2 linked regions of the Oreochromis niloticus genome follow. The protein of the gene in region 2 interacts with the protein of the main gene of each other region in a biochemical or structural test. Links are inferred from orthologs where the notes say so. Each region holds a gene or a part of one and is shown on either strand. Other genes may lie near its edges.

Evidence for each region.
Region 1: the proteins of drd2a (region 2) and neuronal calcium sensor 1 form a complex in vitro, tested with the Homo sapiens proteins (2 studies listed by BioGRID, with this or other methods). The link is inferred for Oreochromis niloticus from reciprocal best matches to the Homo sapiens genes DRD2 and NCS1.

Annotation. Positions count from the first base shown.
Region 1 is NC_031977.2:11,092,801-11,101,062, forward strand, and holds the start of neuronal calcium sensor 1, read left to right. Parts: upstream 1-5,201; 5' UTR 5,202-5,354; intron 5,355-5,442; exon of another isoform or gene 5,443-5,565; intron 5,566-6,015; 5' UTR 6,016-6,136; exon of another isoform or gene 6,137-6,143; intron 6,144-7,164; 5' UTR 7,165-7,243; coding exon 7,244-7,307; intron 7,308-8,262. UniProt on the Homo sapiens protein: Neuronal calcium sensor, regulator of G protein-coupled receptor phosphorylation in a calcium dependent manner. Directly regulates GRK1 (RHOK), but not GRK2 to GRK5. Can substitute for calmodulin. Stimulates PI4KB kinase activity.
Region 2 is NC_031979.2:20,914,806-20,922,361, reverse strand, and holds the start of drd2a (dopamine receptor D2a), read right to left. Parts: upstream 3,107-7,556; 5' UTR 2,602-3,106; intron 1-2,601. UniProt on the Homo sapiens protein: Dopamine receptor whose activity is mediated by G proteins which inhibit adenylyl cyclase. Positively regulates postnatal regression of retinal hyaloid vessels via suppression of VEGFR2/KDR activity, downstream of OPN5.

The sequences.
Region 1 (8,262 bases), on a different chromosome or scaffold from region 2:
TCTCAGTAAAGCTGCATTTCTGTTCAGACTTAAGTACTGGACTATTTATAAAATTGTCACAGTGATGTATCAGATGCTGAATCAAAGTTACCTTCATGCATAAAAGTACCAGCAGAATGGCCCTGTAACATCTGTTTTTCAAACATATTGACGTTCCTCTGAACATTTATGTCCTCAATTTATGCATGGGTGTCTCTCTCTCTCTCTCTCTCTGGAAAATCTGTAAACCTAAGAATATTTCCTCCTGCTGGTGGAGTTTCTCCTCCCTTTTAGTGTTCCATCTGCTAATTAAGACAAATGTTGCGTTGATGCTATACTGTCAGCCCTGATATGATAGCTTTCCAGCATTTGCAAGGCAGTACGGAGGGTGCTGAAACTCGAAATGTGCAGTCATTTTCCTGGCCGTGGCATTTCTTCCAGGAGCCCCCCAGCTGTTTTAGCATATGTCAGCATATCACAGGGATGCCGATGTTGCGCCGGCATTTAATGATGCCACTGTGCTGCTGATGGTGATGCCTTAATGATCGTGGTGTGTGGTTTCTGATAAACGGCTATAATCTGCAAGTGATTATGAACAATCATTTTCAGGGGAGGTGCTTTTGTAATATGTGTTTCAATAATGGCGTGATGTGAAGTGAAGCGGTGTTTGATGAATGCATTATTCTGTTATGTTGTCCTGTTTGGAAGGTAAATGACTACAGGAGCAGAATTTTCATGTCTCACTCTGGTAGTCGAGTTTTCTACGCCAAGACTTTTTTATGACCTAAAATGTGTGGCATCACAGATATGCACAAAAAACAGAATGATCATACAAAACTGACAGCAGCAGCAAAAACACTAGTTTAAAAGTCTGTGATATCACAAAGCAGATACTGTATGTATAAGCATACAGCTGGGTGGTGCAATGGTAATGCAATTGCCTTCCAAACAGATCCAGACAATGCAAACCTTACCTTATTACCTGCTGCAATACCTACTGAAGTTAACTTCAACATAGTGATCTAAAATTAGACAAACATAAGACAGCATTTAGACTGAACTTGATACAAGATGCAGACTTTAGTTTAGTAAACTCAACAAGGCTTCTAAAGTTCTAAATGATCCAGAAAGATCAAAAAAATCTTAGAGCAATTTGCCCCATTTTTGCCATGGCCTCTTTCTCTATTTCTCAGCCTTGTTCTCTCTATTCCTACGGGGCTACTGTAACTGCAGTTGACTGCAATAAGGAACTGCAGGGAAGGATACTGAATACTAAGATGGCCAAGTCAGACAGCCTACATTTTGATCCAACCCTCCCATGAATTAACAGAAAGCTCCTATCGGGCTATAGAATGATGGCGTGGCAGTTGTTAATGAACAAATCCAATAGCTGAACATCTGTTTACACGACGCTCGGGGGAGTTGAATTTTAATAAGCTACGCATGGAGATGTCTGACTGCAAAGTTTGGACTCGAGCATGAGTAAGAGGAATCGGGAGCAAAAATACAAATGAGCCTTCTGGTTACATGACTCGTCCTCGCGTCCTTCAGTATAAAAATCAATAAATGAAAACTGCAGCGCATTAATCTTTTTTCTTCAGACCAATTAAAATTCCTTTCCCCATCTTTTAGCAAGTAATGTATCTGAAATCATTTTCCCTTATTCCCATCTTGTTCTCTTTCCCAGCAGGGCCCTGCAATCTCCAGATCAGTAATTATAGTAGCCTATGTTTGGATACACCTTACCTGAAGTTTGCTGGTATGGTGTCTCAATTTACAATCCCACTCTCAAGCTTTCAGTTTTATTTACTTCTGCCACAGACCTTCTACTGTGGCTTGTTTGTCTTTTGGTTAGATTATGCATGTAATTCAACAGAAGATAGTTTCATGAATTTTGGGAAAAGAAGGAACAATCTTTAAAAAATGGGGTGGATTGTGCAGTTTGTTTTAATAACATAAATGAGTTGCACACACAGACTGTACATAAGAGATGTATGCAACCACTGAGAATTCACCCATTGGTTAGTAAAGTTTCATCCCAAGGGCTGAGGTGATAGATAACATCTTAGCATTTTGAAACCAGTCGTAGTTGGGTGTGGCCAAAAACAGGCCCACTCGTGGGATAAGAAATTACCAATCACAAGGTAGACCTGCCCCAAGGCAAATGCTGCTTTATTGCTGTGTTTTAACAGGGAGCATCATTTCTAGAATGAACATCATGCTGTGTTTAATAAACTAGCCACTGAGACCATAAAACTCATTAGGAAAGTATTCGCTGGGCTCATAGATCAAGCAACTGAAGGTTTGTATTTCCCACAGAGATTACTGAAATCTTTCTTGTTTTGGTAACAAAACGACCCCCCCACCCCCCTTTCACTTTTTACGTGTCATTTTTCAGACCCGGAAACCAAGCCCACTTTTTAAATACAGTCTATGTTGACACCAGCAGCAACTGCACCACCATATAAGCGTGGTTGCAGAGAAGGGATGGGCATTCTTCCAAGACCATCCATCATATTATAACCCCCCCCCAAAAAAGATAACCTTTTCTTTTTTTGTAGCTCAGTGACTAATATTAGAAAATCATGCACATCCCTACCCTCAAGGCTAACAAACTTTACTCCCTAAATAACTGATGAATAATGAGGCTTTTACTCTACCACCTTTATTTGGAAACCTGTGCACAGATGTCTCCCAATCTCTCTCTAGTCAAATTTGTAAATGTCTCTTAATTTTTGTGGACGTGTACAAGACCTGCAAATCTGTCATTAGAGCTTGTGTGTGCACAGTCAGATATGAAGATGTGCAATAAAAAACATCCCAGTCTGTATTCAGCTTCAAAACTGTGCTGCGGAGAAAAGCAGACAAGTCGGGCGAGCCTCTCTGTGGGAGATACATGTGTTGGAGAAAGTTGTCTGCAGTCACGTTTTCCTTTTTTACCTGAAATTTGTATTTTTAGCAAGCCTTATTAAGCATAATTCACTGTAATTTGAACCCAGACTTTCTCTGTGAAGGTCAAAAACTTGACCCTACCTTACGAAGTTAATATAGTACCTTACGAACCCTATTTTCAGTAGTAACAGTATTTTTCTTCGCAGTGACCACAATATTTTTTTTAACCATGGTTGACTCAGACTGTCAACATTTTATGTTACTAAAAATAACTCACTCATAAGTGATATACATGTATTCAGCTATGTATAAGCTTTGATAAACTTCTGATGCCTGAGCCCTCCACACTAGTAGTGTTTTTGGGGAGGACACTGAACTAACTTGCTCCCGATGTCAGACAAGCTCCTTGCATTCCAGCTCCACGGCCGAGTGTGTGTATGTGTGTGTCTGCTTATGTGAAACTCATTACAAAGCCCTGTAGAACCTGGCAAAGGTTAAATAATGTTCTGCAAGTGGCCCTTAACACATTTCACAGTTAAGATATGAAAGGAATAAATAACAATACCGGTCTGCATCAGTACAGTGTGTACTCCACTTCTCACTGGGAAAGGCTCCACTGCAACCTTGAATTGGGTAAGCGAGAGAAGATGCATGGATGGATAAATATAAGAATACTTGGATTCACTGAACATTTATTGGATAGTCTGGGTCCTGATGAGAAAGCAAGTGAAAAGCAGTGAGCACACACATTTGTCTTCTCAAGAACATAACTTAAAACCATATATGTAATAGCATGTATGGTGTTATGTTTAGAGAATGTGTGCACCTGCATACCTATCAAGCAGCAGACTATGGCATCAGTAGCCGCTTCACCAACAGGGGGACCTCAGAATAATCCCTCTCACGTTTCCATGGTGGTCACGCTTTAACTCGTGTTGTCATTATGCTGAAGCCCTCTGGTGAAGTTATTTTAATTTTGACCAAAGGCCTGTGAGTGTTAAAGTTCATACTCAGCAGTGATTCAGCAGCCTTTTGCTGAAAATGTAACGACCCACTTACACACATCATTTATTCACACCCCATTGTTTGAACGGCTTGCTGCCCTAGGGAGGCTTTGAGACTGTAGATGGGCTTTTTAACAAGCTAGCAGATCAGTCTCTCCAAACATGACTTGATGTTTTCGTTTTGTAACCAAGCTTTAAAAAAACTAAACCAAACATATCACGAAACACAAAAACTATTTCAGTGTGTAACTTGGCTACCTGCCGTGTTATCAACCATTAACATTAAGTTTGACAATTCACTGTTAATGGAGGAAAGAGAGAGAACAGAGAGAGCAAAAGAGGCAGGTGATCTTTTTTTGAGTATGGGCTGCTCTGCTGCTGACATTTGAAATGATTGAAAATAGCTTGCATTTAAAATGCCATTGATTTTAGGTGTTTTTTTTTTTTAAATGAGTCATTGAATATGTATGATGTGATCATGAGAAACGCCATTAACAAATGCTAATCATTTCTGTGTTATTTAGTTTGGTGTGAGAATACTGAAAAGTTTAAACAAGTGCAGATATGGAAGTGGATTACTTTGTAGCTATTTTTAAACATAGCAATAAATAAATAAATAAATAAATGAATGAATAAATAAACTTTTCTTTACTTCACACTAAAAAAGTGATCTTTATACAAACCGGTATTATTAACGGTAGTTACTTGGGCCAAACGCTGTAAATCAGATATCATGTAAATTTGGAATTTTACCTCAAACGCAGGACTGCCAATGGCATTGTGGGAATTGTAGTGTTGCTCAACCTTGACTGACCCCGACGAAGGACTAAAAGTTAGATTATTCCGAATCGTTTTAGCCCCTTTACTTAAGGAACTTTGATATTTATGTTAAAAATGTAACTTATTCCTTTTTAATACAACCCTTTGCCACAATTAATTTTTGTCCGTTTGAACAACAAACTCAGATTTCACAAGTTACAAACACTAACTTTGAATCCAGTGCAGTGATTAGGCATTAAAAAAGGGTAAGTGGCTAATTTGAGTGTTATAAAGAAAAACAAGACACCCCGCCACCACTTTCGACCTTTTCTTTCTTTCTTTTTTTGTGTGTAAAACTGGGCAGGCAGACTGACCTGTAAACAACGTTACATATAATGTGAATATGAGTCGAAAAGTTAACCTCTCGCTATGTGCCCGGTGACACGTGTAAAGGCTCTCAAAGCACACAAAGAGTCAGTGTGTGTCCAGTGGTACCGCGACGTCAGTGTCTCTGGCACTGAGCTGAGTTGGTCGGGGCCATGCAGCAGAGGCAGCAACGTCACTCCCTGACGGCGGCATCAGAGCAGCACGGACGGCCATCCGCGCAGCAGCGAGTCGCTCGCTCCGGAACTCGGCGAAGGAAGACGGCGTCGGACAGCGGCTTTCTGCTGTGGGGCAAATTATTTCTTTTCACCGCGACTTTCCGCTTTTGTGGCTAAGGTAACCAGAAGCCGCTTTATATGGGAACGTTTTTTTCTTTATTCATTTAAAGGTGTGTTTTCTGTTTTTTTTTTTCCTTGTCAACTAGCTACACGGAACAGCATGGGTACCAAACGTTTCGAGTACAATGACTAGCTTCCCGCACTGTAGCCATAAACTGAGGGTTGCTATGGTACTGCCAGGCAACATCCCACCTGCTGCTGCCGCGACTGTATGTATTTCTCGCTGCTGTCAATCAAAACACGTTGAAATTAATAAAAACAAAGCGCTTTTCGAGGGTTTTAACCAGGCTATACGTTTGTTGAGATTGTATGTATTTTAGTTGTGCTGTTTTGTCTTAGCCAGCTGTTTGAATCAGTCATTTAACAACGTGACTTCATTTTCTGCTCGTTTAGGCTGTGCTGATTTAACGCAGAATACTTTAATAGCAGCCTCTACAGTTAAATTGACAGCACTCTTCTAGCTGCATATTGTCTGATGCCTGCTGGCTACACTCAGCAGCTTAGGCAGACACTAGAAAGGTCGTCTTGTTTTGAGTGTTTTTCCAGTCAAGTGCCCATGTGTCTGTGGCTCTAGGTGACAGTCCAGTCCATTTCTCATGAAACACAGCACATGCCTGTCATTCCCTTTGTAACTGCTGTCTGTTTGTTTATTTTCATAGTGTCTGTGTAATATCCAGGACCAGAAGGCTTGAGCAAACGCAAAATGGTGATTACCAGCGTGGCATCCCTCGCAAAGACATCGCTGGCCGTGGACGCAGAGTACAGATGTTTGCAGTGAAGGTGCATAGTGCGTACAGTAGTCTTCTAATTCTGTGGCTCAGACAGCTGCTGTGGTTAACCGTCAGTGCATGCCAACGCCCGGCCCACGGTACAAAGAAATTCCATTATCCCCATCTCTGTGACAGAGAGGAAGAAATCACCATGCCGTGTTGTCATGAGGCCAGAAAAGGAGGGAGAATTATGAGTCAGAATGGAGGAGAAAAAAAAAGAAAACTGTCACTCTTCAAATACACATCTAAACTTGGTAGACAGCTCACATGCTTATTTTAAGAGCAGCACCGGATCTCTTTTGTGCTGTTCAGTTGGCATCAGAGCTGTAGAACCGTGAACAGACTTGGCGTCTTTCTGGTATCTTCTTTTTTTTTTTCCCTAGAAATTATTACTGAAGCCTTTTAAAACTGTTTCTTTACACTGTGGTGTCTGTGTAAATTCCAAGGATTAGAGCTAACGTTTTAGAGCGAGCGCAAAGTGCAGCGGGGGGCATCCAAGTCGAGCTCTGTTCATTGTATTTTAGTTTACACACCTCCTTATCTCAGCTGTCAAGAGGGAGGACTCTTTTTCTACAGTAACTTACCCTGAGCAATAGAGATAGTGGTGGGAAAGGAGGGGTGGGAGGAGTGAGAAGAACAGAGAATGACTGTGAGGGAGCGAGCGTGCTTAACCCAGCCACTGAGTGACTCTTGTATCCAAGGACGAAGGTAGCAACGTGTCCAAACGCCACTCTTCGCCCACGGGCTGCTGTGAAGAAATGAGGCGGACACATAGGCGCTCCGCAGCGCTCGTATAGACTCAACAACCTGCTGGGTCCTCTTCACGTGGTCCCCTGGGGTTTGACTCGTCTGTGTGGAGTGCTGATGGCTGAGCAGATCATGACCACAGCTAGAGTGATATACACAGAACGATTAGCGTGAATGGGAGTGTTTTATTTCTTTTTCTGTCAAAGCAAACTCAAATAAAAGTGTCTTTCTCCTATCTCACCCGTGTCTTCGCACCTAAACTGGCCCCACTTCTCTTGCGTGTTTTGGCAGAGGAGCAGACTGGCGAGGACGTAGTAACAGGTGATACGTGCCAGCGTGGATTTGGAGGCGTCGAAGAGAGCTGAAGATCATGGGTAAATCCAACAGCAAGCTCAAGCCAGAGGTGGTAGAGGAGTTGACAAGGAAAACCTACTGTGAGTAACTGAAAGTGTGTTTGTTTTTTGCTTGTTCTTACAAAGAAAAACTTTGCAGAAACTTTTTCTGTGAGCTTGTCATAGCCTGTTGGCCTGAGGTTAAAGAACATACAGCTTGCAATAGGAATACATAATACAGAGTTTATTGCTGCGGTTTGCTAATCTCATTTTCCACCCACTGTGCACCACACAGGCTTAACAGTAAATAACGCTGCCTGCTGGGATGCTTTGGGATGCTATACATTTTTCACCACTGACAGAGCAGATGTCAGTTGCGAACGATCTCCTCATTTGTTTCAAATTTCAGATTTTTGAATGTATCGCAGACATTACTAAGCTAAGGCTGAGTAAAAAGTTGCAACCGGCGTCTTTAAGTTACGCTGAGGACATAGTAGAGTTTGCGGCAGCTGTAATGATAGCTTTTCTTTACAGATGAGCGTGTGGTTTTATGTGTTGCGCTTGTAAACATGCTGTATTTTCTACTTCTAATGTGACAGACATTGATAAATTTAAACATACAAAGGGTAAATCAATTCACGCCGTGCTTGTGCTGCTACACTTATAAATTGCATTCCTGCATCAAGATCGATGGATGGGGTGGGCTCACAGAAAGGGGACTGACCCTCCAATCAAAAACTGTAGCGAAGGTGTGACTTTGTAATTATATCTTCTATCGTTGTTCCCGTTGATGCATTAGGGTGCAAATTGACTGTATTTCTACCATCTTACCAGCCGTTGCTTACCAATGTCTGCTCAGCTATCACTTTGGATCACATTTCTAATTACCACCAGCAATGTCTGCTTGGTATCCACTATATTAACCACTTGTGTGTTATTTTTGGAGCACAGCATTGCTATTATTATTATTATTATTATTATTATTTGAGCACCGTGGTGTGCAGGTGTGGGTGGGAGTTGACATCCCCTGGCTGCTTAATGACAGTGTTATTTGTGT
Region 2 (7,556 bases):
GATGTATTTGACATGCTGGGAAATGGGTTTCAGGAGAGAAAGACTGTAAGCGAGTTGGATAAAGTCTCAGAGATCCAATACAATTAAGTAATTTACTTACAGGGATGTTTGTGGCTCATGACCATGATATAAAATCTGTGAGACATACAAGAAGAACCCTGTAGCTGAGTTAGAGCTTGTGGATGTGTGCCCCAGGGTGGCTGTGGCTACAATGTAGCTTGCCATCACCAGTGTGTGAATGTGTGTGTGAATGGGTGGATGACTGGGTGTGTAAAGCGCTTTGGGGTCCTTAGGGACTAGTAAAGCACTATACAAATACAGGCCATTTACCATGGTGGTTAGTAAGCTCTATGTTCCGCTGAAAATCTAAACTATTTATATTTCATCTTTGGTTGCTTAGATGTCAGATGGCACCACAAGCAAAGGTCAGGTGTGCTGTTCTTTGAGGCCCAACTGAGTATCATCAAGTGCTTCATGACATTCTGGGTCTGAGCTGCATCTTCTATACACAATGATTAAAAAGTGTTTATAGATCTTGGCATATATGTGGTTTAATTTCTGCACCTATACATTTATGAAGTTGCACTTTGCAAGATGCATGAAGTCAAGTAAGACTTGATTAGTAAAAAAAAAATACACCACTTTTTAAAGTGTATTCCTTTCTGAAATGGCAAGCCAAGCGGCTTCATTCAGCCATATAATGTACAGGTAATACTATACACCATGAAATTAAATGTTCCTCCAGACCATGGCAAGGCTTAAACCATACAAGACTGCAAACAGAATTACAGAAGGTGCACAGCATTATACAAATATAGATATATATATACAGTATAAATATATACAGACAACAAAATTAAATTTGAATTCCTTACAGTTTCTTCTTTTGCAAAACAAAACAACTGCACCACCCCAGTCCGACGTAAGATTTCTCCTGTGAATGACTTTCAAATCTGTCTGATTAATAAAACACGCTGTGGTTTCACAGCAGCAGCTCCCTGCACCCAAACAACTTTTGTTTGGGTTTGTAATTGGATTTAACAAGCACAAGCTGCGACACAGTGTTGTTTCTGTTGACTGCATGTCATTTGAGAGCAATGCATTGAATCTGAGCATTTTATCGATCGACCGGCCGAATCAAGTGATTTCCCTTTAGATCTTTATGCGCTTAATCCATTCAAAGTCTGTGCACCACCTTAACGTAAATGTTGCCATGAAATCAAATCTCTCACAATGCATCTTATGGAATCTTATGGAATCTGAACCATTGTTAATGTTTTTTCCCTAGTATTAATTCAAATAATCCGTGTAGGGATTAATTTGTGTATACAGACATTTGACTCGAAGCATCCAGGAGATTTGTTTCAGAAAATCTGCTTGTGGCCAAACAGCTAGGCTTGACAAACCTGCATCAGGCAGCTCCGGTCAGACTGTTTTCCACACAAAACGGTCCAGCAGATCAGACACAGGAATGTATAGAATTCAAAATGTGTCAAGGGAATTCAATAACCAGGCTCAGCCTCTATCCATTTAACCTAAGATGGTTTCACTAAGGATTACTGGTTTGGTTTCTATTTTAAAGAAGATTTAAGTAGTTAATTCTAGTCAAGTGGAGTTGACATGAGCAATTTTCCTTGACAAATAAAGCCTGACAGTGTCCCTTTTGATGAAACCACCAATTTGCCAACCAGGTGTTATAACCACCTGACCTATTCAGATATCCATACCTGCTGGGTACAGAGCAGCTGCTGACCAAATGTCAAAGCAGGTTTTTGTTGTTATGGTGGCTTATTAATATTTTCCAGAAGGCAGTCACACTTTTCTTTCCTTTCTTTCTCCCCTTTTAGCACTGACTCAATCAAAAGTGACAAGTCTTAAATCAAAATCACCACAATCATTAGCATTATTCAGTTATTTGTTATGCTGTTTATGTGTTATTTAGAATATGGCAGTGACTCGGAACATGCATATAATATACACATTTGTTTTTTTTTAATATTCACATAGATCATAAATGGGTAACAAACTCCATCAAACGCGCTTTCGAGGCACGCAGGCTTATCAGGAGAGGTTTAGATAAATTTTCCACTTCATTTATTTCCCCTGTTGTTGGTAACTTGTTAAAGCTGCTTAGCGATGCTGATACAGGACGGAGTGTGCAGCGTGTACAGCAGTCACCTGCGCAGCACGAAGCTTGTGCCTCTGAAAACCCAGCACTAATTACAAATTAGAAAGCACGAACAGATCTGAAATCAGCGCTTCGCGGGTTGGGAAGGGCACCATGACACAGACACATCGCCACTCTCAAGTCTGAAACTAGGGTATAACTCACTTATAGCCCCCCAGCCCCCCACTCTTTCTTGGGGTGGTTAAAAATGTCTTATATTAACGCCCAGCCCAGGATCGATAAGGTAAACAGTAGACCTGTCATACAAATAAATCCTCCCCACAATGCACAGCCGCTTGCGCTACCTGCAGTGTTAGTTAATGTATGTATGCATCTTTGAGCGACATGTCATAGATTATAAGCTATACCCTGGATTATCTTATTTTTCTTAAGTTTAATACATCACACAGAGAAAACAGTAAGAACTGTCTTACCTTCACGCCATAAGTTTCTGAATCTTTGTTTTCACGGGAAGCGGCTGTTAAATCCAAGATCATCCACAGTTAGCTCCCACTGTATCCTTTATTTGCTTTACTCATTGCTTACTCTTTAAAGAAAGAACAGTCTCTGCGCGTCGTCTCTGGTGCGAGGCATTAGTTCAAGCTGGTAGGTAAAAAATAAACGCACTACTGGGAGCCAAAATACATAGCCTAACAGTGAAAGAATGATTTAAAACGACACCTAAGATCACTTGCTGTTTTCCGGTCGTTTAATTAAAGCCTCGAGGTTTGATTTTTTTTTTTTAATTTTTTTTAAATCAGTTCTGATCTTGAGAGAGCGGAGAAGCAGAAGCGGAAACTGAGCGGTGCCCTTCTGGTGTCCAGGAGCTTTACGCAGAGAGCTAAGAGTTACCTTCTGCACTGACGGAGACGGGAGACGCGGCGGCTGTGAAGAACTGTGGAAAATCAAGGCGGGGTTACATCTGTTTAATTCCTAAGAGGGATGCATGTTTTTTTTTTTTAATGTCACCGGTGTAAGTGAAACCCTATTCCCTTATGTTTGCCTCCGATTTTCCACAGTTCAGTCTTCTCTCCGTGGCACGGTTTGCGCTTTTTGTGTAATAAGTAAATAATGGAAAATGACAGTGTGGGATTTAAAACATTTTTGGACATCTTTTGATCACTAAAGAAACAGTTGGTTAATAAGTGGGCACATGCTCTGTTAGGATGTGAGTTGGTGGATCAGCAAAAGCCGTGAAAAATGGTAATGAAAGAAATAAGCGAACACATGGACTTACAAATCCATCCCACGCATTCCTCATTGTCATTTTCTTAGATAATGATCTTTTATATTTATATATGTATTTTTTTTTCATCTATTGCCAAACCTTGTCATTATTGTTAATTGCTGGCATTTCTTAGGACTCTGTTGGCTTTCATCCCAGCAATTTTACACAGTGAATGCTACCAAGCCAAGTAAAAGGACAGGAAGCAAACCGTTTTGTTTGTCCTTGGGACAAGTAATAAGGAAAGAATGTACAATTTCATATTACACCACTGAGATTTATTTGTACCTGCTGGTTCCATTCAATACAAATGACACAAACCACCTTCCTGAGTGTGTGCATGTATAGGGAAGTCCAAACCAGAAATGTAAATGTTACATCAGGATCAATTTTTGACTCTTTGTAAGTGGCATTGGACCGTCGCTCTCTTTTAATGACTGAGTGTGAGTGTTAGACAGAACCTCCTGGAAAGAAACATAGTTGTTGATAATCCATTGATGATCCATTTATCCATTATTTTACAACTAGAAATGCAATGTTTTGGCACTTTAGGAAGTACATGAATAGTTATATTAAGTGCAGTCCTGCCCAACTGCAGCACTTAAAATCTAGCTTTTATATCATCTTGCTCTCTACCCTTTACACATGTGACTTAAATAAGAACTTCCATTTAAGTAAGACCTGGATAATATATTCATATCTAATTTGACATTGAAATAAAATATTAATTACAGCCTGTAGGCACAGAAATACATTAAAAAAGGAAGAGGTAGAATAAGTCCAACAGTATGTTATACTTGGTGGCAGACGAATCACCTACAGTTTTTAAATATGTTTTTCTAAATGAATTCCTCATCATGCATACTTTGACTTGGAATTTCTCACGTGCAGTTTTCCTAAGTGCACTTCTTCACTATTAACACTATTTGAATGCACAAATGTTATGTTTAATGAAGCTTGCCTCATTTTTTTAAAGGGTGACATTTCTTTGCATTGATTAGCAAACCTGACATTTTTCAAATATAATTCAAGTGCAATAAGAAGATAAATTTAATGTTTAACATCAAGCTTTATGACTGCTTTCACATGGTTCCAAAAGTAATCATTTTGCATGTGTGTGCATATTTTTTTCATTCAAGAGAAAAGGAAATGGCAACCCACTACCAGATAGATGTTTTCCCTTTGCTGCAAATGTAATTAAAACACAGATAATGTTTTGGTTGTATTGCTTCTGTGGGCAGTTCAGCTGAGGGAAAAGTTTGGAGACATCATCTACATACTCAGTTATAAGAAATAAGTAACTGAAGTGTGACTAAAACATGGCAACACGGCTGAGAGAACACAGACAAAGCAAAAAAAAGCTAGATTACAACACCCCAAATCTTCACAGCGGATGAAATGTCACATATTAGTGACACAACCAGAGCATTAAAATTCTCCTCTGTTGGAGGCAGCCCTCACAAGAAGCAGCTTTTCTTTTTTTTTGCTTTTGCACTCTTGTGGGGACGTCTGTACTGAGGCAGATAGCCAGTTTTGACTTTATGTCTGAATCACACATAAACACAGACACAAACAGGCACATAAATTCATACTGCACACACACAAATATGCACACTCCCCAGGCTATCTGTGGGAGGCGCAAACACATCTAACTGCTAACTGCCATAAGGTAACGCTGGAGCCTGATGGTAACTGATACGGCCTCTATTAATTTGTGACGATGAGTGGATGTCAGCAGATCGCAAAATAAATGACAACAACTTTGACGCCCCCCAAATAAGATTAATTTACAAACCAGTTTCACCCACATGTCACGCTAATGAACATCTCACAACCCACAAAAAGATTCCTTCCAGACAAGAGAACCACAAAGCATAGTCTTGATGTCATGGCGCTAAGTTCTCGTCTCCAACTGGCACGCATTTTCAGCCTTGAATGGAGCTTGGAGAAATATTGTACATTCTAGACACATGCACGCCTTTCTAAGCCTCGCCAAGCACAGAGCCACCACCAGTGAGCAGATGCTGGCTTTAGGTGAGCTGTGGAAAAAAACACATTGACCTGGCATGAAGGAGGGCCCTACTGTGACAGAAAAGACGTTCAGTCCCTATTTAACTCACATGAGCACAAAAAGCATGCACATATTTCCCATTCACTAGTCCTTAAAATGAATCATATTTTACACACCAGCAGTCAATGCTTTAAACTTGAACTCATCCTATAAAGAATTTATATGGTGTGACACTGGTGTGACATTGTGTGCTTGTTTCTGAGCTCTTTCCCTGGTTTAACACTTGCACTATACCCTGTCACACTGTATGCTGAGCGAAACAGAGTGACAAAGAGGGAGACAGTGTTGGCATGACTATCTGTTTGGGAGATAATAGTGACAGCAGTTGCTCTGCAGAAAGGACTTAAGGCATGATGAGGAAGCATGAGATTAGAGATATCCAGATATAGGAGACGTGCTCGCAGCAGTAGGGTTGAGGCATGTAAATTACAGAAGTTAATATTCTGTTTTCAACATATCCCACAGTATGACTGAAAGCAATAATACCTTCATGCAATCCACTGTTGGCCAGACATGACTGAAAAACACAAACCTTGGATTTGCATTGTGTATTTCTTTATGATGATAAAGACCGATAATGCAATTATGTTCATTAACAAGCACATCAAATATGCATTAACTTGCAGCTGTAATGAATCCAAAACATAGACATTGCCAATTCCGTCTAGGTAACCTTTGCTCAGCAGATTCAAGTTGTTGACGATTTAATCTTTTTAGTCATGCAAGTAGTCTACCACCAGAAATGAGGATGTTACACGTTGCACATCTTTGCCCCAAACTAAAATGTATAACAACAAGCATCACTTAAGGATGACTTCTTTTGATGATCACTTCACCTTCAGTCTTGCAACATGTCAAAATGTGAAATTCATAAGCTCTGATTTTTTTGTTTTAGACCCTAACAGTGTTGTAGAAAAGTCTCAGGCGCCCCTCACGTGGGTGTGCAAAACATGTGGAAACATAAATGGAAACACATATAATTTTAACTAGCTTGGAAGTCGGCGTGATCCCACACTGCTTCAGTAATGTTGAGGTCCAAGCTCTGGGGAGGCCAATCCATGAGTGATGATGTTCCACTGTGTGTTTTCTTATCCAGGTATAGTGCATGACTGTGTGTTTGTGGTTATTCTCATGCTGAAAAATGAAGCTGTTGCCAGTGTAATGCTTTCCAGATGGTATTGCATGGTGGATCAAAATCTGATGCTCATAATTCCATCTGTTTTGACAAGATCCACAGCATCACTGGTGGAAATGCAGCCCCAAACCATGACAGAGCCTTCACCATGTTTTACAGATGGCTGCAGACACTTTGTACCTCTCTCCTGACCTCATTCATATCACTCTATAGGACCACTGATTCTCGGTCCAGTTCTTGTTTTATCTGGCATAACTCAACTTCTTTCTCCTGGTTTATTGACAGCAAGCTTTCCAATTAGATCATTTCTGGTGATCTTCAGTGAACAGTAAGATGAATCGTCTCCTGTTTCTCAAGGGCATGACTTTCAGATGCTATTCATCTGTTGTAGACATCTTTTTTAGGCCTGGCTATTTATCTTTTGTCCTCCCACTTGTCCAGTTTCTTTAAAAATTTTAAGTACACTCTTCACAAGAAACTGAGTTATGCAAAGTTTTTCTTGGCTTTGAAAACCACAATGCTACCATGTTATCTTTGGCATTTTTTATGAATGCAGCTAAAGAAATTGTGTGTTTTTGTCACAGGCTGCTGGTAATAAAGTCCCTAATGATACAATGTAAAACTAATACTTTGCTTAATCGGACAAAACCAGTTCATTCCTGGAGATGGGTGTTCTTTTCATGCGTGAATGATTTATAGGTCAGTGGTGGTTTAATAAAACATTCCTGTGAAAATGGTCAGGTACAAAACTGAAAGGTGGCTCCATAATGTAGCTTAATGCATTCACCTAACAAATGAAGGGTTGCTGGTTCAACTCCAGCTGAAGGCACAAATCCCATTTGGGGTACTTTACCAAGTACATACATGTGGTGCTACCTGCTCCAGCAACCGCTTGGGAGCAAAGTAGCTTTAAAGGCACTAGACTGAAAGTGAGTGTGAAAGCAGCCAGTGTGATAAC